2 linked regions of the Pelodiscus sinensis genome follow. The protein of the gene in region 1 interacts with the protein of each later gene in a pairwise test. Links are inferred from orthologs where the notes say so. Each region holds a gene or a part of one and is shown in the gene's direction. Other genes may lie near its edges.

What was found.
Region 2: the proteins of COIL (region 1) and PDLIM5 interact in binary tests that used the Homo sapiens proteins (3 or more experiments, as listed by UniProt). The two-hybrid records come from large-scale screens. The link is inferred for Pelodiscus sinensis from reciprocal best matches to the Homo sapiens genes COIL and PDLIM5.

What each region holds. Positions count from the first base shown.
Region 1 is NC_134730.1:18,933,601-18,945,196, reverse strand, and holds the start of COIL (coilin), read left to right. Parts: upstream 1-5,910; 5' UTR 5,911-5,955; coding exon 5,956-6,212; intron 6,213-10,065; coding exon 10,066-11,263; intron 11,264-11,596. Other genes in the region: SCPEP1 (retinoid-inducible serine carboxypeptidase), read right to left, coding at 874-1,019, 4,494-4,554. UniProt on the Homo sapiens protein: Component of nuclear coiled bodies, also known as Cajal bodies or CBs, which are involved in the modification and assembly of nucleoplasmic snRNPs.
Region 2 is NC_134715.1:19,387,650-19,398,973, forward strand, and holds the start of PDLIM5 (PDZ and LIM domain protein 5), read left to right. Parts: upstream 1-6,431; 5' UTR 6,432-6,577; coding exon 6,578-6,585; intron 6,586-7,082; exon of another isoform or gene 7,083-7,222; intron 7,223-8,076; coding exon 8,077-8,212; intron 8,213-11,324. UniProt on the Homo sapiens protein: May play an important role in the heart development by scaffolding PKC to the Z-disk region. May play a role in the regulation of cardiomyocyte expansion. Isoforms lacking the LIM domains may negatively modulate the scaffolding activity of isoform 1.

The sequences.
Region 1 (11,596 bases):
TTTTATATGTCTGGTAATTTCTCAATTTCTTTCCCGGACAAAACCTTCAAATACCGGCCTGTCGGGTACAAAACTGGATACCTGGCAAACCCTACCCTTCCTTCCACCCTCCCTCCTAGTCAGATACCCTACCCCCAATCTGCTCCTGCTCCCGCCTCCTGGAGTGCTCATGTGACGCCGGGTCCCCCAAGCCCTGGCCCAGGCTGGATGGAGGATGCAGCTGGGTATAATACTGAAAATTTATTCATTTTTCATTCTTTTTTTTATATGCGTTTATATTTTTGGGCTGCAAAAAACAGTACTAAAAAAAACCGGGTTCCAACTAAAGTAAAAAGTTTGGGAAACCCTGATCTAGCCAGCGTTCTATCCATCTTACAGTCCATTTATCCAATCCACATTCCCTTAACTTGCTGGCAAGAATATTGTGGGTGACGGTATCAAAAGCTTTGCTAACGCTGTCGCTGGGGGCTTTGGGAGGACCAGAAACAACTTATTTGAATATTTGTGATTTGCTTAATGAATATGCAAGTATGCAAATGAATGTTACCAGTCCTCCAAAAGCTCGTGAATGGATTTCCTGGTCCCTGTGTCAAAAAGTTTGGGAACCCCTGGTTTATGCTATATGCTTTTTTATATAGGGTAGTCAGAGCTAAATACATACCCCATTTGCAAGGAGTTCCATTATATAATTTAATTTATATAACAGCTTTATAATATTTTCAGTATTCTTTTTCTGACCTGAAAACTTAGTTCAGATATTCTCTGAGACCTAAGTCATGGCTCAAAATCTTATTCCTGTATAACTAGAATATCATGGCAGAGCAGTATGTTGAAATCAAGATTCCTTTTAAAATGTCTTTCACAATATCTTACCTGAAGCCACATAATGAGAGGTAATTCCGTGAAATTTTTGGTAGGGTTGTTTGCATAGTAGAGCCACCAAAACATGCTTGCATTGCTTCTGACTGTTACATACCCCCATGATTCTCTTTGTTCTTGTGATTGTTTTAGAACTGCACCTAAAGAAAAAGGTTATCTGATTCAACATGCTAGGGTTGGGCATTTGACCAATTCAAAACCAACAACAGGCCAAATATTTTAAAGAATTAATTTATTATAACAGTAACAAAGAGAAAGATTTTATTGATTGTGGTAGGCTAGGCCTTAAATACTTATACCTAATCTCAAAAAGTAAGTTTCGAACAGTTATTAACTGAGAAAAATGTGAAACCCAGTGAAATGAACTTCTTAAAAATGAAAGGATGGCACCATAATACAAACAAAAATGTAAGTCACTGCCTATACAAAAGCATTCTGGCTAGAATAATTGATCATGATCAGATAATGGATGGTCAGTTATCTGCCAAGCCTAAACTAGAATGTGAAATACTTGGCCTTAAAACACTTGACCAATAGCAACTTAGCTGAAGATTTCAGGAGCAATATTAGTGGCCTCGAATGAGCCAACATTCTGCTAGCAGTGTTATCAGAATGTTTTGAAAACACCACAAGTAGAGGAAGGGTTATCAGTGTGACTGTTCTAAAATAATTAGTTCAGCCTTATTCTCTTCGGCTCTGATGTGAACCTTTGTAGCCTCAATAATTCACATTCATTCGTATTGCCAAAATGGACTTCAGCTCATCTGTTCATGTTGTGCCATGGTTTCAAAAAGGATTGCATTCTCAATCCTCTGCATTAGCCTGTGTCATTCATTGATAAGCTTTTTGGGACTATTAACATCACCTAAAAATGCTGCCTGCTTTGAAGTGCAACAATGCATTTGCCTTATACTCAAAAACTTTCTGCTGTCCTATCAAGCAATCACACCCAAGATAGGTATTTTGAGCTTTACACCAAACTCTATGGCTCTGATCCTACCATTGGATCAAAAAAGTAGACCATGCACTTATGAAGTGGGTGCAGGCAAGAGGCCTTTATTTTCAGGCAGCTTCACTCAAGGGAATATTGCATTACCCAGTATCAAAGGGCTTGGAACATACAAGCTGAGGATGGAAGCCAAAGGCCAAGCCACAAAAGTCTTGTGCTAGGAGGGAAAATCAGCATCAAGTAAACTAAGATTTACCTTTCCCAGTATAAGCGTGATTCTAACTTTAAATCAATTGTTAGGAATTAACTGGTCAATTGCTTACAATGATCAACAAAGGTGTGTCTTGAAGTTATTTTTCTAACTTCAGGAAAAATCCTGAAGCTGGGCTTGAAAGCAGTTTAACAGCTGGGGCTACGTCTACACTGGCCCCTCTTCCGGAAGGGGCATGTAAATTTCACGAGTCGTCGTAGGGAAATCCGCGGGGGATTTAAATATCCCCCGCGGCATTTAAATAAAAATGTCCGCCGCTTTTTTCCGGCTTTTAAAAAAGCCGGAAAAGAGCGTCTAGACTGGCCCCGATCCTCCGGAAAAAGTGCCCTTTTCCGGAGGGTCTTATTCCTACTTTGAAGTCTAGACGCTCTTTTCCGGCTTTTTTAAAAGCCGGAAAAAAGCGGCGGACATTTTTATTTAAATGCCGCGGGGGATATTTAAATCCCCCGCGGATTTCCCTACGACGACTCGTGAAATTTACATGCCCCTTCCGGAAAAGGGGCCAGTGTAGACGTAGCCCTGAAGTGCAGAGTATCTGCTTGATTTTTACAAGTCCTTGTCCTTTTTATTACCCCCACAAGGTTGCATTGTACAGTAGCTCACAGTAAATCAGAGGTGCAATTTGAATAAGGAATTTTTTTAGCTTAAACATTTTCTTTTGGAGTTTCACTTTATGAAATTATTTCAAGAAATACAGAGGTCCAGCAAGATCCTCAGTTGTATGACCTCTCAAATTTAGACTGACAGATCACATGCATAGTCATTTATCAACATAAAACAGTCTCCCCACTTATATCTTATCAATAAGATAACAGTAAGCTCCAAAACTTCTCAGTTACATTAAACTGATGATGAAGAATGATATTTTGTCTGAGAAAAGTTACACAACTGAGACTTTATCTTCACTTGTCTCTGTTGGGAAACCAGGGAGGGTGAGACAAGCAGCAGATAGTCCATAGAAATCCTCTTCTGTGTAAGAAGGTGGCATCTTTAACCCACCCTACACTAGCTTCATGCTTTTGAGGTAGGGCTGAGGTGGAAATCAGCCACATAATAACAACTGACACTATATCTTAAGGGTGCATAGCACATACTTCTACATTAAAGAGAAGCACATAACTATCAAATTAAAGCACCAATTCCCAACAACAACAACAAATTACACACAATTTGAAACTCAAGCTTTTACCTCAGTGGTGGGCAGCCTGCGCCCGAGGACTGCATGCAGCCCATTGGGGTTCTATGTGTAGCCCGCAAGACGACCATTGCCCATCCACAGAGTTTCCAAATTCTGCTAATTTCTGTCCATGTCGTTTTTTTCCTACTAGTATTATTAAAGTGACACATGCTTGAAAGCAAGAGCAGATGAAGTACATGCTGATTGCACACAACATTGACTGTGAGCCCCATGTACTCCCTCTGCATCCAGTCAAAGTGCTGCTAGGATTCAATCTGCACACCCTGCAAATTCCAGGTACACAAGAGCAGTTAGCAAAACTACCTTATCCTGGGAGACGGGCTTGGTTATGGCCCACTGAGATGAACTAGGGTCATTTATGCAACCCACTCATTAGCCTAGGTTGCCCATTGCTGCCCTAACTTGCAATTCGGAGGCTGTACAGACTGACCCATGCAGAGTTCTATTTAAGTCAGTGGGTTCTATGTGCGGGAAAAGAGCCATTCATATGGTCCTTATTGAAGGATACAGGCTTCACAATTCAGTTCTTATAAATACAACATAAATAAAAGACTGTCTGGTTATCACTTCAATAATGCAAAACTACTTTTGTGGAAGTAAAAAGGACTTACTCCTTGAGATTAGTGGGCTGCAGAATACTCCCACAGCAGATATGTACGTTTTTAGGACATTGAATCAGATAGATCCCTGATTCACAGGCAAATACTTGCTCTTGACTTCAGTAGGGTAATTCACATGGGTGAAATTTATCTCTATTGTTAGGGCCTGATTCTGAACACAGTTCAGACATTTTCCATTGCGAAAGACTAAGGGAACAGCCAGAGTGTCCCAAGAAAGTGATTACACAATTAATGTCACGGGATAGGCAAAGCTTAAAAGAGCATGAGCCCCTTAAAAATCACTGCACAAAACGCTCAGCACGTCTGCATTTAAATGCTTCTGCCAGGACATAGGACAAAAATAAATAAATTAATAAATGGGGGAAGGGGTTGGTACACACGGTGAAGAGAGTCATCATTCATTCCTCAGCGTTCACCTAACAATAAATGCCTTAAAGTTCAGCAAGCCACAAAATCAGTTTAGAGCAAGTTTACTAGGAAGGTGCTTTGAGCAATGTCTATCACCCTAGTCCCAGTAACGCCTCATGGAGCTAGTTAAACATGCTCCCTCATACACTTAGCCTTTACCAAACGTACCTGAACCCAAAGTCAGCAGGAAAAGCATCGGAATAACATGTTGCCTAAGCAGCAGCTCCATCTCTGCAGCAACTGGGGTGGGGAGTTTCCTGACTGAAAATCATATGACTCGAGTCTCCAGTCAGCTATGTAGTAAAAAGGGAAGTGGTGGCTCTCAGGTTACAAAGGGAGCCGGTTACTAGCCAAGGGCGCCCTCTTGCCTCTCCTACATGATAAATGCAAGAGAGATCTGCACTGGTTACACTGTTAACGTGGTTCTATCTGTGCTTTACCAGACTGTCTGATTTCCCCATTTATGCCACAGAATGTACCGACCTTGGTAATAGGAAAACTTTCTTTGATGCTGGGCTCTAACTGCAGCTTGTGAAATGAGGAAAGGAAGTGTGTATAAAATCAGTGAGTGAAACCTGTGCTAAAGGGATTTAGATTAATCTGTTTCCACTTCTCTAGTGCTTTACGGTTTCCAAATTCAGATTCCCTACAGATACAACTGTAAGCAAATATTTTCCCTCCCGTTCCCCCCCCCCCCCAAAAATGCCCTCATATTTTAGATTCTAATTTTATCCTAGTCAGGATTAACACTTTCAAGAACTCCTTGTGTGTATCTTGCAGCTCTAACCCAAAGTGGGCTGTGCCCATTAAAGCTCATGATACCATCTACATGTTTTAGTTAGTTTATAAAGTGCTACCAGACCATTTGTTGTTTTTTAAGTTTATCCTGTACAGACTAACTCGGCTACCCCCTGAAGCTTATTTTTCTCATGTGAGTAGTGAAGTTAATGAGACTCCACACAGGAGAAAGGCCCAACCCTGTAAATCTGACTGCAATATCCTAGATTTAAAATGTTTATACAAGTTCTTCTAAGAGCATAAAAGCAGAATTGTTTTACATGATTAGTTTTTCATGGGGTGTGCTGGAGGACAGAAGGAGGAAAACATTTAAATGATAATTAAGGCTTTACTCTTGCATCTGGCTCTACCCTCGGCATATTTTAATACTATGCATGCCCAGTTGCAGGATCCGGGTCTAAAACACACACCAAGGTGACAGAGGTAGTATATTTTATTAGCTCATCTTCCGTTGATGAGAGACAAGCTTTTGAGACACACAAAGCTCTTCTTCAGGTGACTAATTCTCGGGGATCTCCCTATGAAAAGGAGGCTCTATGGAACACTGTCGGAAACAGGCTCCCTGATCCTGCTCTGAGCTCCACCGCCCGGCAAAAATCAATACCAGGCCAAAACCAAAGTCCACGAAGCGCTCAGTAATGAACACACGGGGGCAGGGGGAGGTAGCGGGATGAATAGCAATGCAAAGCAGCTGCTCCCGCCTGCCCTGTTCTCCGGCTGCAGTTCGCCACGGCTGCCGGCAGGTGGCGCGCGCATCGCGAAGCTGCCGATGCCTCTTGTCCCGCGTCGGGCACCGTAGCCCCCTTCCCCCGCTCTGGCCTCCTTGTTCAAGATGGCGGCGGCGGCCGGGGGAGGGGGCCCCGTGCGGCTCCGGCTGCTCTTTGACTACCCGCCGCCGGGGAGCCCGGGCTGCTCGCTGTGCTGGCTGCTGCTGGAGCCCAGCCAAGTGCGCCTGGTCACCGACCTCATCAGCCTCATCCGGGACAAGTTCGGCTTCAGCCGCCGGGCTCAGCTCAGCCTCTTCCTGGAGGGGGCGCTGCTGCCGCCCACCGAGAGCGCGCGCCTGGTGCGGGACAACGACTCCCTCAGGTAGCGGCCAGGCACGAGGCTCGCTCAGAGACTGGGGGCGGGGTCAGGCAGCTGGAAGGCGCGAGGCGGCGGCGGGGGGTCAGAGGGAGGGGAAGGCTCGAGGCAGGGGGGGGGAGAGGGTCAGAGGGGGGGAAGGCGCGAGGCAGCGGGGGGGGGAGTCGGAGGGGAAGGCGCGAGGCAGTGGGGGGGAGAGGGTCAGAGGGGGGGAAGGCGCGAGGCAGCGGGGGGGGGAGTCGGAGGGGAAGGCGCGAGGCAGCGGGGGGGAGAGGGTCAGAGGGAGGGGGAGGCAGCGGGGGGGGGGGAGGTGCCAGCCTCCCAGAAGTGTGGGGGGAGGAGGGAGGGTCCCTCAGGTAAGAACATAAGAACGGCCATACTGGGTCAGAGAACGGTTCATCCAGCCCAGTGTCCTGTCTGCCGACCGTGGCCAATGCCAGATGCCCCAGAGAGAGGGAACACAATAGATAATCCTCACTCGATCCCTCCCCCACCTCCAGACAAACAGAGGCTAGGGACACTGTTCCTACCCATCCCGGCTAATAGCCATTGGTGGACCTAACCTCCGTGAATCTATCTGCCGCTCTTTAGAACCCTGTTAAAGTCCTCGCCTTCACCACATCCTCTGGCAAGGAGTTCCACAGGTGGACTGTGCACTGAGCAAAGAAGAACATCCTTCTGTTGGTTTTAAACCTGCTGCCGTTTAATTTCATTTGGTGATCCTTAGTTCTTATATTGTGGGAATAAGCAAATAATTTCCTTATTCGCTTTTTCCACACCGGTCATGACTAAATCTGTTAATGGCCCTGATTAACCGCAGCTACCATAACGCCACTACCCCACATGCTCTGCATTTAAAACTCAGAGTTTAAAATGAAGAGCATTCAGGGGAGCTGTCTGCCACCCATGATACAGAGGCAACAGTGCAGGGTGGCAGGTGGGGAGCCAGTCTAAAAACCTGAGCTCCCCACGAACAAAGGCTACTCTGTGTGATTCAAAGAACTAGATAAATTTATGGAGGTTAGGTCCATCCATACTTATTAGTCAGAATGGGTAGGAATGGTATTGCTAGCTTCTGTTTGTCAAAGGCTGGAAATGGATGAAAGGAGAGGGATCACTTGATTACCTGTTTCTGTTCACTACCTCTGGGGCATATGACATTGGCCACTACTGAAAGACAGAATACTGGGCTTAGATGGACCATTGGTCTGATCCGGTATGGCCGTTCTTATGTGTCACAGGCAGCAGTGCAAGATGGCAGGCAGGAGCCGGTCTGCCTGGGGAACCAATTTTTAAACTGGCTCCTCTCACGGACGGGTTTCTGCCTGCCACCCTGCGCTGCTGCTTCTGATACAGAGGTAGCAGAGTGGGGCTGGGAGCGCACTGACTGCTGGCCCCATCTCCAGGGGCCATTGAATAATCTGCTAACAATTGTTGTGATTACACAATTACTAAATTAAACAATTTGAAACATCCCTACTCTATTCTCCTTGTGCAGACACCTTTTAATACCTTTCAAATCATATCATCTGGTCATATTGTAGCCGAAGTTTTAACACTCTTTTGAAAAGCACATTTATTGTTGTCTGGAAGTCCTCTTAAAATCTTGAGATTTTGGAGGCAGGTTTAGAGTGGTATACAAACTCTGTGCCTCAGCCCAAATATCAGAAGTTTGGCAGGTGTGGTGAGAGGAAATCTGGGGTGCATGGCAAGGCTTCTATGCTGCTGGAGGACAGTATAACCCATATTCCCTGCAGATTGCCCACTGAGTGCCCTTAATACATGGCATCTGCACTAGGGATTTAAAATCCTATGTAGTTGGTTAAGTGGTTAAAGGTGGTGATAACTAATTAACTGATTAAAGGGAGCTAGGCAGTGGAGTTGGTGCACCCTCTCTCCCAACCCCACAGGAGCAGCCCCTGCCTGAAATGCACCCAGGCATGCTGTGGACAGAGGCTGCTCTGGAGAGCCAGAGCAGCCCCTGAATGAAGAGTGTCTGCTGCAGAGAAGCTGTTCCATCCAGGCTAGAATGCCCTTGTGCACGGCAGGCCTGGTGGGGCTGGAACAGCCCCCTTCACGCTATGGGCAAGAATCTACTCCATCTCCCACCCCTTAATCGGAACCGGTAAGAATCCCTTGTTAAGGGGGATGCTTATTGGTTAACCTTTTACATCCCTAATTTATGCTGGCATGTGGATCGCTTGGGCACCAGGGATGTGTTGCAGTGTGCACTACCCCTTTTCCCACACATGAGCATTTGGGGATTAAGGGTGTAAGTGACTAGTCGAGTAACTACTCGCTTTCCCTCCCCCCTCCGTGCTGCCTCTGTATTGGGGGAGGTTCCCACAGCACTGACTCTGCGGTGGACAGAGGAGGCAAAGGCTCAGTGGTCTGAGATCCAGCTTGCACCAGGTCCTGGACCTACCCCCCACTGCAGCTCCGCATTTTAAATGTAGTAAGAGCCAGGTGGGCAGATAGTGGAAGCCGGCTTCCACTATCTGCCCACCTGGCTCTTACTACATTTAAACTGCAAAGCTGCAGTGAGAATAGGTCCAGGAAACAACACAATCTGGGACTTAGCAGACCCGCATGAGCCAGGGCTGGGACCTACCGCTGCTGCGGCTCTGCAGTTTAAATGTAGTAGGAGCCGGGCTGCCTCCACACCTGGCTTTTGCTACATTTAAACTGCAGAGCCACTTCAGGGAAATTTATCAGCTAATTGTGTAGTAAATACAAATTTTATCAACTGCACAATTAGTCAGTTACCCACTTCTTAACATCCTTACTGGGGATTTTAGGCTGTTTGACAGTTTAATCTTTGGCGTACTTTGTTTTTGAGATTAGTTTGTTTCCATCTCTTCGTCTGCTGAGTTAATATTTTTTAGCTCCTACGTGAATAGCTATGACATCCTAGACCAGTGGTCTCCAACCTTTTTACACCCAAGATCACTTTTTAACTCAGTCCCGCCCTCTCTTCTCCTGTCCATCACTTGCTATCTCCAGCCCTTATACACTCTGTTAAACAGTTTATTTTTAAATTATGCAATATATAAAATTAAAATCACGTTTATAGTTATGAAATAAATGGTCTTTTTAATTCATGCTATTTAAATGTCAAATGAAGCATTTACAATTATACATTTTGTTCTCTGCTATTTTGTAAATCTAAAATCAAGTATTGATAAGTATATATTTTTTCTTCCAATAACAAAGTCTCAGTGTGACACCTGTGACTGAACAGTATCTGTCAGTGTCTTGAAGTCTGGGTTGTAGTCTGAGTTTGCTAGTCGTATACAGTCCATCAGATGGGCATCTGTGATCCTGCGCTCAGCTTGGGAAGCTTGCTCCAGCACAGCTGGAGCTAGACGCAGCCTCCCTGGGCTAAGCGCAGGGCAGCCAGGCTGGAGGGAAGAGAAGTGGCTGCCTGGGCAGCTGGCCATGGCGCTCAGCCTGGGTGCACCAAGCTCCATGTGGGCAGGCGCAGAGGAGAAGCCGCCAATCAGCTGGAGCGTGGGGTAGCCTCTTTCAGCTGAAAGCCAAAGTCAGCTTGCTGGGGTGATTCAGCCCTCCCGACGTCTCAGCTCCCAGCATTCTCGCAGCTACTCGCCTGTGTTGTTGCTCGGTGAGTAGCAGCTCCTCAAATGAGGAAATCTAATGTAAATGTTCTGCGCAGGCACACAGTTCAGAGAGGGCTCAAGAGATACTCTTAGAGCCCCTGAGATCTACCGGTAGATCACGATCTACTGGTTGGTGACCACGGTCCTAGACCGTAGTCTAATAACTATTTTAAACTCAGTATGTAGAAAGGAATATTAATGTACTAGTTGTACTGAACATTGGTTTATTGTCTTTTTGACAGAGTTAAATTGGAAAAGATAGTTTCAGATAGTTGTGATGAGATTGGTAATGGTATAATTTACTCATCAAGAAAAGAGAGAAAAAAATATAGCCAAAAGTTGGAAGTGGAGGGGAATGCTAAAAGTGAAGATGACAGACACAGAAGGAAAAAGAAGAAGAAACAGAGCCCTGAACATCTTTCTTGTAAGGAAGAGGACTCTGTAAATGTTCAAGACACTCGGAAAAAGTCCAAGAAAAGAAAAAGAAAAGATGTGAATGAAAGAAATGATATCGCAGGAGGAAATGATGACAGCAGTCTTGATGAGTCCAAAAAACTTAAAAAAAAGTCCGAGGGAAAGAAAGATCTGGAAACAGAAAGAAAGGATGCTAAGCAGAGAAAAACAAGGCCAATTAGAGAAAAGACTGTTTTAGAAAAAGCCAACCACAATTTCCCTCTGAATCCTAGTAAAAGTAGCTCAGTAAAAAACATTGCAGCACAGTCTAGCAAAAAGAGGGAAGGAATTTCAGATCGTGATTCCTCCAGCACATCATCTGACAGTGAAATGGATATGAAACAAAATAAATCCTCACATAAACCTATGGCAGCAATGCTACACAGAGACAAATCCCAACTTGCAAATTCTGTTATAAAAACTGTTGTTGCTAGTAAAGTTACTGCCAAGTCTACAGATGAAAATTTCCCCAAGACTGCAATTAGTAAAAAAACTAAACCCCAGTCCTCTAGTTCAGATTCTAACTCTAGTATAGAGATGGAAGAAGAGCAGCAGCAGCAAAGCAATGACTCAAAGGGAAAACTGCTGCCTAAAAATCCCCCAGTTGTGAACATTATGGCAAAGTCCCCCAAAGCAAAGACCTCTTCTTCGGAGTCTGATAGTTCAGATTCAGAGACATTTGTTATTAAAAAGCCCATAGCAAATGTTGGCTTCAATAAATCCTTAGTAAGAAGTGGTGGTAAACAGTTGCCAGCTAGCAATCAAGGACCAGCTGTAAACTCCAGCAGTTTTGGAAGGGGACTTGGTAGAGGAGAGGATAACTTCTGGAGAGGACATAGGGGCCGGGGGTGTCGTGCGGTGATCCGGGGTCGGGGCCGTGGCCGTGGCCGTGGAGAAAGCAATAGCTTCTTCTTTAACTATGGCGATGAAAACCAGAAACATCAGCAGTTAAATGAAGAAGCAACAAACACTTCTGTTGTTATCCAGGTGAGTGACTATTTATGTCCACATAACATATTTTTATAAAGTTTTTATTAATTTATAGTTTTCTTACTAAAATTTCAGTAATTAAATATACAGAAATGCAGAAATATCACTAGCTCTTTTATAGTGTTTCGCAACACTAGATCTCAAAGCACTTAACAAAGAAGGTTGGTATCTTTATGCTCATTTTACAGATATGAAAATTGAAGCAAGGAAAAGAGATTTGGCCAAGATCATTCATGAGCCTGGTGTCAGAAATGGGAATAGAACCCACATTTTGTGAATCCAGATTAAGTGCTCTGCGCTGCCTCTCTCATCTAGGCTACTTCTACACTG
Region 2 (11,324 bases), on another chromosome or scaffold:
ATCGAGGCTTTTTTGTGCAAAACAAATCTCAACTGTCTACACTGGCCCTTTTGCACAAAAGTTTTGCAGAAACGGGACTTTTGCCCGAACGGGAGCAGCATAGTATTTCCGCAAAAAGCACTGATTTCTTACAGTAGGAAGTCAGTGCTTTTGCGGAAATTCAAGCGGCCAGTGTAGACAACTGGCAAGTTTTTCCAGAAAAGCGGCTGATTTTCCAGAAAAAACTGGCTAGTCTAGACACAGCCGAAGGGTAGTTCAGCGTTCCACTAGGCTTTCAGGAGAGGTTGTGGAATTCCCATGACTGGAGGTTTTTTTTAAGAATTGGTTGCACAAACACCTGCCTGTACAAGGATGCTGTAGTAATATCAGCCCATCTGACTGAGGAGTTGGACTGTCTCATTGTTTTGCATGAGTAAAACCCTGTGTGTAACTTCCCCCTCTAGCTCCCACCAATACTGTTCCAGTAATCCAGGGTGAAGGTGATGAATGCATAGATTGCTAGGGCCATATTCTCCTCTGGGAACAAAAACTAAAGTTTCCCAGCAAACTGTAAATGGGCAAGGATATTTCTCATTAGTAAAGCTACATCTTAGCCTGGAATAAATGCAAAGTCAAACAGGATCCTGAGGCTTTGCACTACCTGAAATATTTTAGGTCTGTGTTTGAACCTAGGTAATAAATAAAACAGCATGAAAGTGCCCTAAAAACTTTGTTACAGAATGAAAAATCATTGTTATGGGGAATGTGTTTTTTTTTTTTTTTTTTTTTTTTTTTTTTTAACCACCCTGATCTAAAAATCATGTGATGGAGCTTAAGTCTCTGCATGCAATAGGGATTTTCTTTTTAGCCTGAGCAGAGATGCTAAATCGGAAGTGGGGAGGGGAAGGGAGCATTGGGAGGAACCATTACCAAAAGTGCATTCCAGTCCAGCCACATAAATACTGTTTAATTGGAAAAAAAAAATTTTGCAAGCCATTTTCACTGTAGTCCTTTTTATTTTTAATAAATACATTTTAAAAGTGCCTGCTGCAGTGTCTAAGTGCTTTTGCCACAGGCTTAAAAATCTGAGCAAATACAAAGCCATCCCATCAGCTTCTCACGTCCACAGTAGGAAGTAACTACAGTAACTAGAGATGAAATCCGTCACCCCTGCATCTAAAAATACTAGGCTTTATGGAGCTCTTCCTTCCCTAAAAGCTTGGTGAATGCTTAACCTCTGCCAGTTAGACCTGAGGGCTTATCTCAGGGTGCGTGGCTGGAACTAACTAGGGCAAGTGCAGCAGGTTTCTAGAAATTTTGATCTTGTTCTGAAACACAAAAAGTCTGCATCCTTCTTCACACAAAGGAGGGAGAGGAAGGGGGGTGGGGTGTCCGTCCCTCCATCCCGGTGAGGGAATTTGGGTGGGGAAAATGTCTGAGATGTGGGTTCTAGGATGGAGTTTGGGTGCAGACTTTGGTCTGGGCATGGGACTGGGGTACAGGAGAGGGTGTAGGCTCTGTGAAGAAGTTTGGGGTGCAGGCTCTTGGCTGGGTCAAGAGGTGGGGGTGCAGGAGGTGGTGAAGCACTTACCTGGGGCACCCTGCCCTGGTAGCAGCTCTCAAGCACCACATCAACAACTCCCATTGCACATAGGGGACTCAGGGCAGGGACAGGGGATAGAGACACTGCTCCCGCCCCCTTAGCCCAGGGGCTATAGGAATGTTTTGGCCACCATACATGTAGGGAGTAAATAGGAAGCTGCTCCAGCCCTCCTGCACTACCAGTGGTGTTGGCAGTGAGGGCCCCTGCATCATTTTTAAATTGCCCAAGGCAGCAGGCTGGCTGTGGGATGCACAGTGTGGGGGGGAGTGGATATGTGGGGGTAGATGGATGGGGTCAGCAGATGGGACCCAGGAGAGACCAGGCCCCAAACTTTGCTGGAGCCAGTCCTGAGGCCAGGAATATCCCCAGAGCCTGGGCACCATCGGCCCATATAACTTGCCATCCCTGACGTAGGATAAGCACGAGACCGGAAGGGAAGCAGGACTGGCACACTCTCAGAACTTCAGCTGCTGGCAGAACAAAGTGCCCCCCAGCTGGTCCTAGTAGTGGGAGGTGGTGTGGCACAAATGGTGTAGTCACGTGTGCACCCTTATCCTGCTGTACCCAGCACAACTCTGCCACACACCTGAGCGTTACTGCTGCTACTATCCACCTCTCTACTGCAGCTGAATCTATTACTGGTCTTGGGACTGTTCTCCAGGGTGGCTAATGGGGATGATTATACAGCATTTCACACTAATAGGAATGCTGGACGTCTTAAGTCATTCAGCGTCCTGGCAAGTGCCCAGAATGTCTGTAACAAAATACAGGACTATGTAGCACTTTAAAGACTAACAAGATGGTTTATTAGATGATGAGCTTTCGTAGGCCAGACCCACTTCCTCAGATCAAATAGTGGAAGAAAATAGTCACAACCATATATACCAAAGGATACAATTAAAAAAAATGAACACATATGAAAAAGACAAATCACACTACAGAAGAGAGGTGGGATTCAGGGGAGGGGGGAAGGAAGGTGAATGCCTGTGAGTTAATGATATTAGAGGTGGGGAAGGGGAGATGTCTGTGAGTTAATGGTATTAGAGGTGATAATTGGGGAAGCTATCTTTGTAATGGGTAAGGTAGTTGGGGTCTTTGTTCAGCCCCCTGCGGAGAGTGTCGATACAACCGCATCTGCTCTAATCCCACTGACAGAGACCAGAAACTTCAGGATCTCTACTAAGCATTTATACACCTCAACTACCTACCTGGAGAAATAAAAAAGCAAATTGAAAGAGCCAAACAAATACCTAGAAACCATCTACTACAAGACAGACCCAAGAAAACCAACAATAGACCACCACTTGTCATCACCTACAGCTCCCAACTTAAACCTGTCCAACACATTATCAATAAATTACAGCCTATACTGGAACAGGACATTAAACTCCAAGAAGCTCTGGGAGACAGACCCATAGTCTCCTATAGACAACCACCTAACCTCAAGATGATTCTTACCAACAACCACAGGACATACCACACTAATACCAACCCTGGTACTTTCCCTTGCAACAAACCCCATTGCCAGCTTTGTCCACATATTCACTCTGCTGATACCATTATTGGGCTTAACCAAGTGAGTTTTAAGATCAAGAATACATATTCCTGCGCATCCAGAAATATAATCTATGCTATCATGTGCCAAAAGTGTCCATCTGCTATGTACATTGGACAAACGACTCAGACACTTCGCCAAAGAATCAATGCCCACAAAACAGACATTAGACAGGATCACAAAGAAAAAAAACAGTTTCTTGCCATTTCAACCAGAAAGGACACTGTCTCAATGACCTAATCACATGCATCCTACTTCAGAAGACATTCAAATCTGCACTTGAAAGGGAATCCTCTGAACTGGCATTCATGCTAAAATTCGACACTCTCCGCAGGGGGCTGAACAGAGACCCCAACTACCTTACCCATTACAAAGATAGCTTCTCCAATTATCACCTCTAATACCATTAACTCACAGACATCTCCCCTTCCCCACCTCTAATATCATTAACTCACAGGCATTCACCTTCCTTCCCCCCTCCCCTGAATCCCACCTCTCTTCTGTAGTGTGATTTGTCTTTTTCATATGTGTTCATTTTTTTTAATTGTATCCTTTGGTATATATGGTTGTGACTATTTTCTTCCACTATTTGATCTGAGGAAGTGGGTCTGGCCCATGAAAGCTCATCATCTAATAAACCATCTTGTTAGTCTTTAAAGTGCTACATAGTCCTGTATTTTGTTTCAGCTACACCAGACTAACACGGCTACATCTCTATCACTATTCCAGAATGTCTGTGGCACTGAGGTAACCCTAGGTGCTGTGAACAGTATTTTGCACCCCCCTACCCTTCGCTAATTGGGCGGGGCTGCCCTGGCTGGCAGGCCAGGGCCTGACTTTCTGTGCGAGCTCTCTTTTGGCTCTGTTGTCCTGGCCTTTCACCCGCTCCTCCTCCCCCGCTGCCCGCCCGGCAGGGCTTCCTCCTCTCTCGCTCGGCTGCAGAGCAGAGAACTTCCCCATCCCTCCTGGGCCGGGGGAGGAGCAGAGCGAGGCGGAAGTGAAAACAAGCCCCGCGGGACGCGGCAGCCCCAGCCTCTCACACGCGCTGCGAGCTCCCTGCCTCTCGCCCGGGCCTCTCCCGCCGCGCGGCTGCTGCAGCCCCCAGGTGAGCAGGTGCCGAGCGCCGGGGCGGGGACCGCCTGGGGCAGCGCGGCGAGGCACTTGCGGCCGAGGAGGGGGCTGGTGGCTCAGGTGCGGCGCTAGCCAGGCTGCAGGAGGGGCACCTGCCGGAGGCGCCGCAGCGTGCTCCCCTCCTCCGGGGCTCCGTGCGTGGGAACCGGGCCGGGACAGCTCTGCAGCGCGACTGCAGGCGCCTGAGCTCCGGGGCGTCTGCAGCCCCATCCCGAGCGGCGCATCCACCCCTGGTGCCGGGGGGAAGGCGCGGGGCGCAGTCTCTCTCACGTTGAAGCCCCGAGGGGGGTGGGCAGGTCGGAGCCCCTGGGGGAGCGGGACGGAGAGTTGCGCCGATGTGAAGCTGCAGGAAAAGCGGGTGTGTCTAAGCGAGGCTCCCCTGGGGTGGCTCTGAATTGTTACGCGCTTCGCGAGTGGCTTCGGTTGGTTTGGTGTTTTCCCCCCTTGAAAGCCCCTTGGTAGCCGACCGTGCTGTTGGTGTTAAGGGAAGCGACAAGCTCCGAGCTCTTACGGGTTACCGTGTAACTGATGTGTGCTCCTCTTGGAGAGCTCTGCTTAAAACAGCAGCAGCCAGCGGAACGGGGACCAGAGTCAGTCTTGTAGGTGCCAACCGTGCAAGCCTGTGTCGGGGTGTCATGTGCCCGCACTCTCTGCTTTAGTTTTTACATGCAAGGATGTTGCACAAAGTAGCACCAAAAATGGTAAAAGTGAGGGGAGAAGGGGGGGGGGGGGGGAAGAAGGGAAAGGATTTGCGAAGGAAAGTTCATAGCTGAGCTGGGTTGGGCAAGTTTAGGGTGTGTAATTGTTTGATTATGGCCATGCATTTCCTCTTGCCTGTGGGGACTTTTGTAACCAGATAGCTGCAGGAACAGTAAAGCCAGCAGTTTCACTTGTAAGCCCAGGCTTAATCTTTTTTTAAATGGTGTGGTGTTCAACGGAGTACACACACAAAATCAAACCTAACTTTTTGATCATTTCATACTATAACACATGTCCACTTAAGATGTCTCCTTTTTTCTTTTCTCTGCACATTGGGGATACTGGGATATTCACCGCAGCAGAACACCAGATTTTCCTGAATGCACAGTCACTTTAGTATCTCAGTTATCTGTTAGCATTACTGGAAGTATGACCTACAGTTGAGCATTTCTGATTCTGTCCTACAGGGGGCAATGATGCACTTAACCTGTCCTCACTTATGTTTAGATGGCAAAATGCTTTGTTGAGCACTTACACAAGAAGGATCACTGAATGTTCAGCCGCACCAGAGTTTCACAACTTAGTCCTTAGCTAGTTGTTGCACATTCTCTTTTCATAGAGAATTCTTTCATTCTCTTTTCATTTTCAATTAATAGAGCCCTGCACATACACCAAATTTATACCTCTCTCTCTTCTCTGCAAACATGGGCCATGGATATCTGCAGATTTGGGCTCTAGATAGCAGATGGATGCAGATCCACATTTTATATCTTCAGACATGTCTCTTGATATCTGCATCCATGGATATAAGGAGGGCATCCATGCATTTGCTGGGCTTTGAGTCACATGATGTTAGCTGTAGAATCTTTAAGGATGGCACAAACACATCAGTAAATCTGTTTTCTTAGGGTGTTTCTGTAGCTCTCCTCCCCTTCCCCTCCCCATCCCAAAAAAGTTCTCTAGTTTTATGAGATGCAGAAGTTTAATTGCAAGCCCAAAAGGGGTATGTGTGTGCAGAGAGGCATATTGTATCTTACCATTCCTTTTACCATTACAAACCAATTTCTGGTATCTCTTCGTGAATTATTTTTTAAACTCTCCCCCTCTTAACCCATTCAGGGAAAAATATTCACATGCTTAATTTTGCTCTCAGTTGGGGAGAGAGGGGGAAATCATGTCACTTACCGGTGATCAAACTGAGTTCCAATGCATTAGATAAGGTTTGTTTTCCCCACCACCATTAATCTGAGAGATCACATTAAAATGATAAACTTAATTTAGGGAGAACAAAACATTTTCTCATGGTAGTAAAATCTGTAATAAATATGCACTTTAGATGGAATTCAGTGTATAGTACATAGAATGATTCAGTGAATTGTAGTTCTTCCTAGAACTAATGAGCAAATTCTATAAGGATCATATCTCAGTCTGTGGACATTTTCTTTTGTGTGGGTGAGGGAGGGAAGGGAAGGAAGGAAGAAGAGAAGGATCCTTTCAAGTAGGGAGGCATTGGCATTCAGGGGACTATGTTTGGTCAGCTGCGTGTGGGAGCACAGGAGATGGAAACGTAAGAAATCAGTGGGCGCAATGGTCCTTTTGCAGCTTCTGGCATGAGGATGTAAGTAGTTCAGGGACTATCTTGTTCTGTTGTTAGCTTGGAGAAATAGTTCCTAAAAGTTATCTTGTTAGCATGCTGTAGCCAGATATTCCTATTTTATTTAGTTAAATGGAACTACTGGTGTGAATAGGACCATTACACTTTGATCCTTCATATGGAAATTAGGCTTAAGAGCTAGATTCTTTTGGTGAAATGTATCTAGAAATCTATATAATTTTGCCTCATTACTTTTGTGCATTTCTAGGCTTGGAGTGAGACATTTTATGGAACTTCCCAGGCAGTAGTCCCATAGAAATGACATTTTATTAGATTTATGTATACTGTAGTGTAAACATACTAAAAAAATAATCCTTGCAGTACTTGATGCTTGAAACACACTTTTTTCTGCTTGACTGAAGTTCGATCTTAAATTTCCTATATTAAGTAAATGTGGAATTTTAAATTGCTCTGGTGTAGTCTTACAGTAATCCATCCCTTAGTGTGTGCACGCTCTCTCCCCTCCCTCCACTTCAAATATAAAAATAGAAGGTAGCTACTACCTAAGACGTCATTGTAATGTTGCCTGTATGTGGTGCAGCTGAAGCTGTTAATTTTGTTGCTCAGTATCAAAGATAAGTGCACAGCGTGCTTTGTAAAGGTAAACCTTCATCCTTGTTGGGGGAGGAGGGAAAATAATCTTGGGATTCTCTTAAAATACTTTTTCTTAAATAAGTTGCCTTGGTATTTGGTACATAATTTTCTCTGCATATTTGTTTCTTTTTTTTTTCTGATTTCTTCTGTAATAGCTTGTATGTGCCTACTATAAAAATGGAAATAGTTATCTGATGTACATAAACTATTGGCAAAAATGCCAAGAAACAACATTTTCCCCTTGGAATAACTTTCGATAATACATTTTGTAGTTTTTGGTATTTGAATGTGTAACCAAAACAAGCACACTACTTGTGAATGAGTGTTTGAATGCATCTGTGCACTTGTGACTTAATAGTATCACAGGAAATATATTTTGTGGGAAATTACTGTGCTAACATATTTTCCATAAACTGTTAACATTTTTATGTACTTATGTAATTTTTAGAACCATGTAAATTTAAATTTGATCCAGTACTTAACATTTTGTGAAAACCAGATTAAATAACCTCTAAACAAAAACATAGGAGAAATTTCCACATTTTCTCCAAAGAAAACAATTATTAAAAAAAATCACTGTATGCAGTATGTGAAACCCAAATATTGCAGTACTAAGAATCAGAAAGTAAATAATGTTTTCATTTCCTAATCTGGTAGGCCAAAAAGTCAGCAGATAGGACAATTAGTAACAAATGAGACCTCTATAGCCCATTATTAACAGTTAAAGGTCTTTAAAACAGGGAAAAAAATTATTTGCAACATATATTTGAGTTGACAGTGCCCCCTTTTAAATTAATATTTCTATTTCATTGTGTACATGGCTTATTAAGATTTACACTAAAATGTAATCCTCTTTCACAGACATTTATTATCTGGAACTAGTCCTTCAGCATCCAACACCATGAGCAACTACAGTGTGTCTTTGGTCGGCCCTGCTCCTTGGGGTTTTAGACTTCAAGGTGGAAAAGACTTCAACATGCCTCTGACCATCTCTAGGGTGAGCATCTATGCCTTTATAGACTTTACAAAAATGTCTGCTACATCATGTGGTACCTGAAACGTGCAAAGATGAGTAGTTCTGTAATATGATCCTCTTGTTGAGTGTGAGGACAGATGGCTTGTACAGTGGGTGTCCCTCCTTGTCCCTTAGGATGATGGAGTAGATTTGTTTTTTTTAAAAAAACCTGTTGGGAGAATTAATTTATTATGTTGGTGGGAGGCCTCAAAGTTACCTTAGGGAGAACAAATGTTTGAAATAATAACAGTATTTTGCTGCTTTTGTATGCATGAGATGAAGTATTTCCTTTCATTCTAGCTTTGGTAGATGTGTATGTAAGAAGCAGAGGTGGAAGACTACTGACATAATTTAAATCATGTCTTAGGCTAAAGTTAGCTTTTGAGTAGCAGATGCTTTTTTCCCCTCTCTCCTCTTTTTCTTGCTGGGGGCATATCTCAAGCACGAGGGGGCATGGACCTTAAATCAGAAAATAGCTCATGTTGTCTCTATATATCCAGCAAATTAACTGAATTTATGATCTTTCAGTATCTTACTCTTGCAAAATCTGTTGACAATTTTTTTAAAAAAGTAGTTTAACTATGTGCAGTAGTTGTGAATGGTGTTTCATTAAAATGTGCCTGAATGAACATGCCAGTTTCTCACGGTGCTGTACAGTATAAGTACTTGTAATTGCTGCTATTCAGAGGATTTGAGGAGCTAAGTCAAAACAGATACAATCTTTGTATGAATAGCAGTGCAGTGTCCAGCTAGAGTTCACTACCCTCAAATAGTGCTTAATGGACACTTTTCTTCAGATCTGGGCTGAGTTTCAAAACCTTCCTCAAATATCCGAGGCTGTTATATTTGGCGTGTATAACCTATACATACAAATTTTTCAATATTGAAGCTTTTAGAATATTAGGAATCCTAGTTAGAGTGCATTTTACTTCTCTAATATGTGTGTGTCATCTGTAGAAACCATTTTTTGGAAGGGCAAGTCTACTCTAAAAGTAGTAAAAGAGTGTAAAATGGCACCTTATTTAACAGATTCTCTTTCCCTCAACTCCCCCTCCCCTTGCTTTCCCTAAATCACCCTATTTACTTCAGTGACAAAGATAAGTTACTTCTTACACCTGTTCAGTGCAGTGTCAGTACTACCCTGGGAGAGGGCTCTGGTTTCTGTTGCATCATCAAACTTAGCTTTTTCAGTTGCAGGTTCAAATGCAGCTGATTTATTTAGACCTAGATAATCTTATTCAGTTGTGGGTTACACTGTTGAGATCAAGGTGAAATAGTTGCCTTGCAGCCTTTTTTAATTTAAATAGTACATAACGGAGTATTGTAGAAGTGATCTCAACTAAATATAAACTTAGGATAGTGGATGCTTGAACCACAAGAGTGTACAGTATTCTTTTGTAAACCTAGGATGAGTTTGCATGACTGACAGAAGGATCTCAACAAATGATTTTGAGTTATTGATACACAGTACAAGTGAAATTTCAGAAGGCTGTTTTTACAGTAACTTTTCAAAGAGCTGCCACATTTTTAAAGGCCTAGGTTATATTCAAGTGCCTCTAGATCCCTCAGTGTCATTGGTTTTCAAGATTTTTCAGAGCAGGTCTCAATTGACTCCTAATTTGATGGCTGTCATTTTACATGCACAAGAATTATGACTATTGTGAACCGTGGGTGTAAGTGTCTGCGCCCAGAGATTAACTCTTTTTTGCTATGAGCTGCTCACAGGGCAATGAGTGATTGCAAAGTTGTTGATGTTTTTTGGTCAGGAACTCTACCATGGTTTGATGTGTACCAAATAAAATGATAGAAAATGATAAAACTACTCCTAGTGTGTCTGAGAACCAGAGTGCAGCTACATTATGAACATGGGTAGATTTAAATCTAAAGATTTACAGAGGGACAGAACAATGTTTTAAGAGTAATGTACTACATTTATTCTTGATTAGCAATGTACCACGTGGACCAGGCATACTTACATATGCTGTTGTATTGGGAAGAGCAAAATAAATTGGTCTAAACAATTGAATCTGTTATCCCCAGTCCTCTGATCCCGTACCAGCTGACCTGAGATTCCATCTCAGAAGCTCATGTTGAAGGATTGGGGCCAGAACAATCTCTGAAACCTTTTTTTTTTTTTTTTTTTTTAATAAAAGCAAAAATGTAGCACTTCTGCATGAGTGCTCCACCTCTTCTGGGTGGTTTATTTTCACTGTAAGTTAGAGTGTGTGTACGTGTTTGGCCTGGAATTAAAATGTACTTAGGAGGATTTGCATACCAAAACGATCTGATTATTTGAAGAGTTCGGTCTTGTGTTCTTGATACCCTAGCACAGCATGTACAACACTCCATCCTTCTCTTCCCAGTGATGCACAAATACCTTTCCTGCATAGTTAGACTGCTAATTAAAGAGTTTTGAACATACTGTTTTAAAACAAAGTAACAAAGCAGCAGATTTATTTCTGTTTCCTTACAAAGGTCCTGCTGTGTGTTATGGAGTTTAGCTGCAGCAGTCATGCTAGAAATTTATTCTAGGCTGTGATGGTGAATCTTGATCATTGTTTTGACTACTAATGTCTTGCTGTAGCCTTGTTTTAAGTCCTTGCGTGAAGTTTAAACAAAACTTATGTAACATGTTCTTTGTAGTTGACCAGTGGTCTCCTAACAGTATTGAAATAACCTGTAAAGTTCTTAAGTAAAATGATTTAATGTTAACAAACTTGCATTTCCTGTGACTGTCTCAAGAAAGTCTTTCAGAAAGTTTATTTATATTGCTGTTGTAATGAAATTAGTCAATGGTACTATCACTAGAAAAGTACGAGATTGTTGTGAGTTCTACCACTGACATTTTTACAGTGGCAAGTGTGAATTAAGGGTTTTTAACTTAGTCTATGAGTTCAAATATTTGTAAGCTACTTGACACTATACACTGTATGTTTCAGTTAGAATCCCATAAAGCATTATAGCATTTGCCATAACTGAATGACTTTTGTTCAAGTAATACAGAAATTTGATAAATAAACTCTTTTTTTATAGTAAAATGTTAATAGTCTTCTCTGAAGTTAAAGGGTGACATAAAGCTGCTCAATACAGGGAT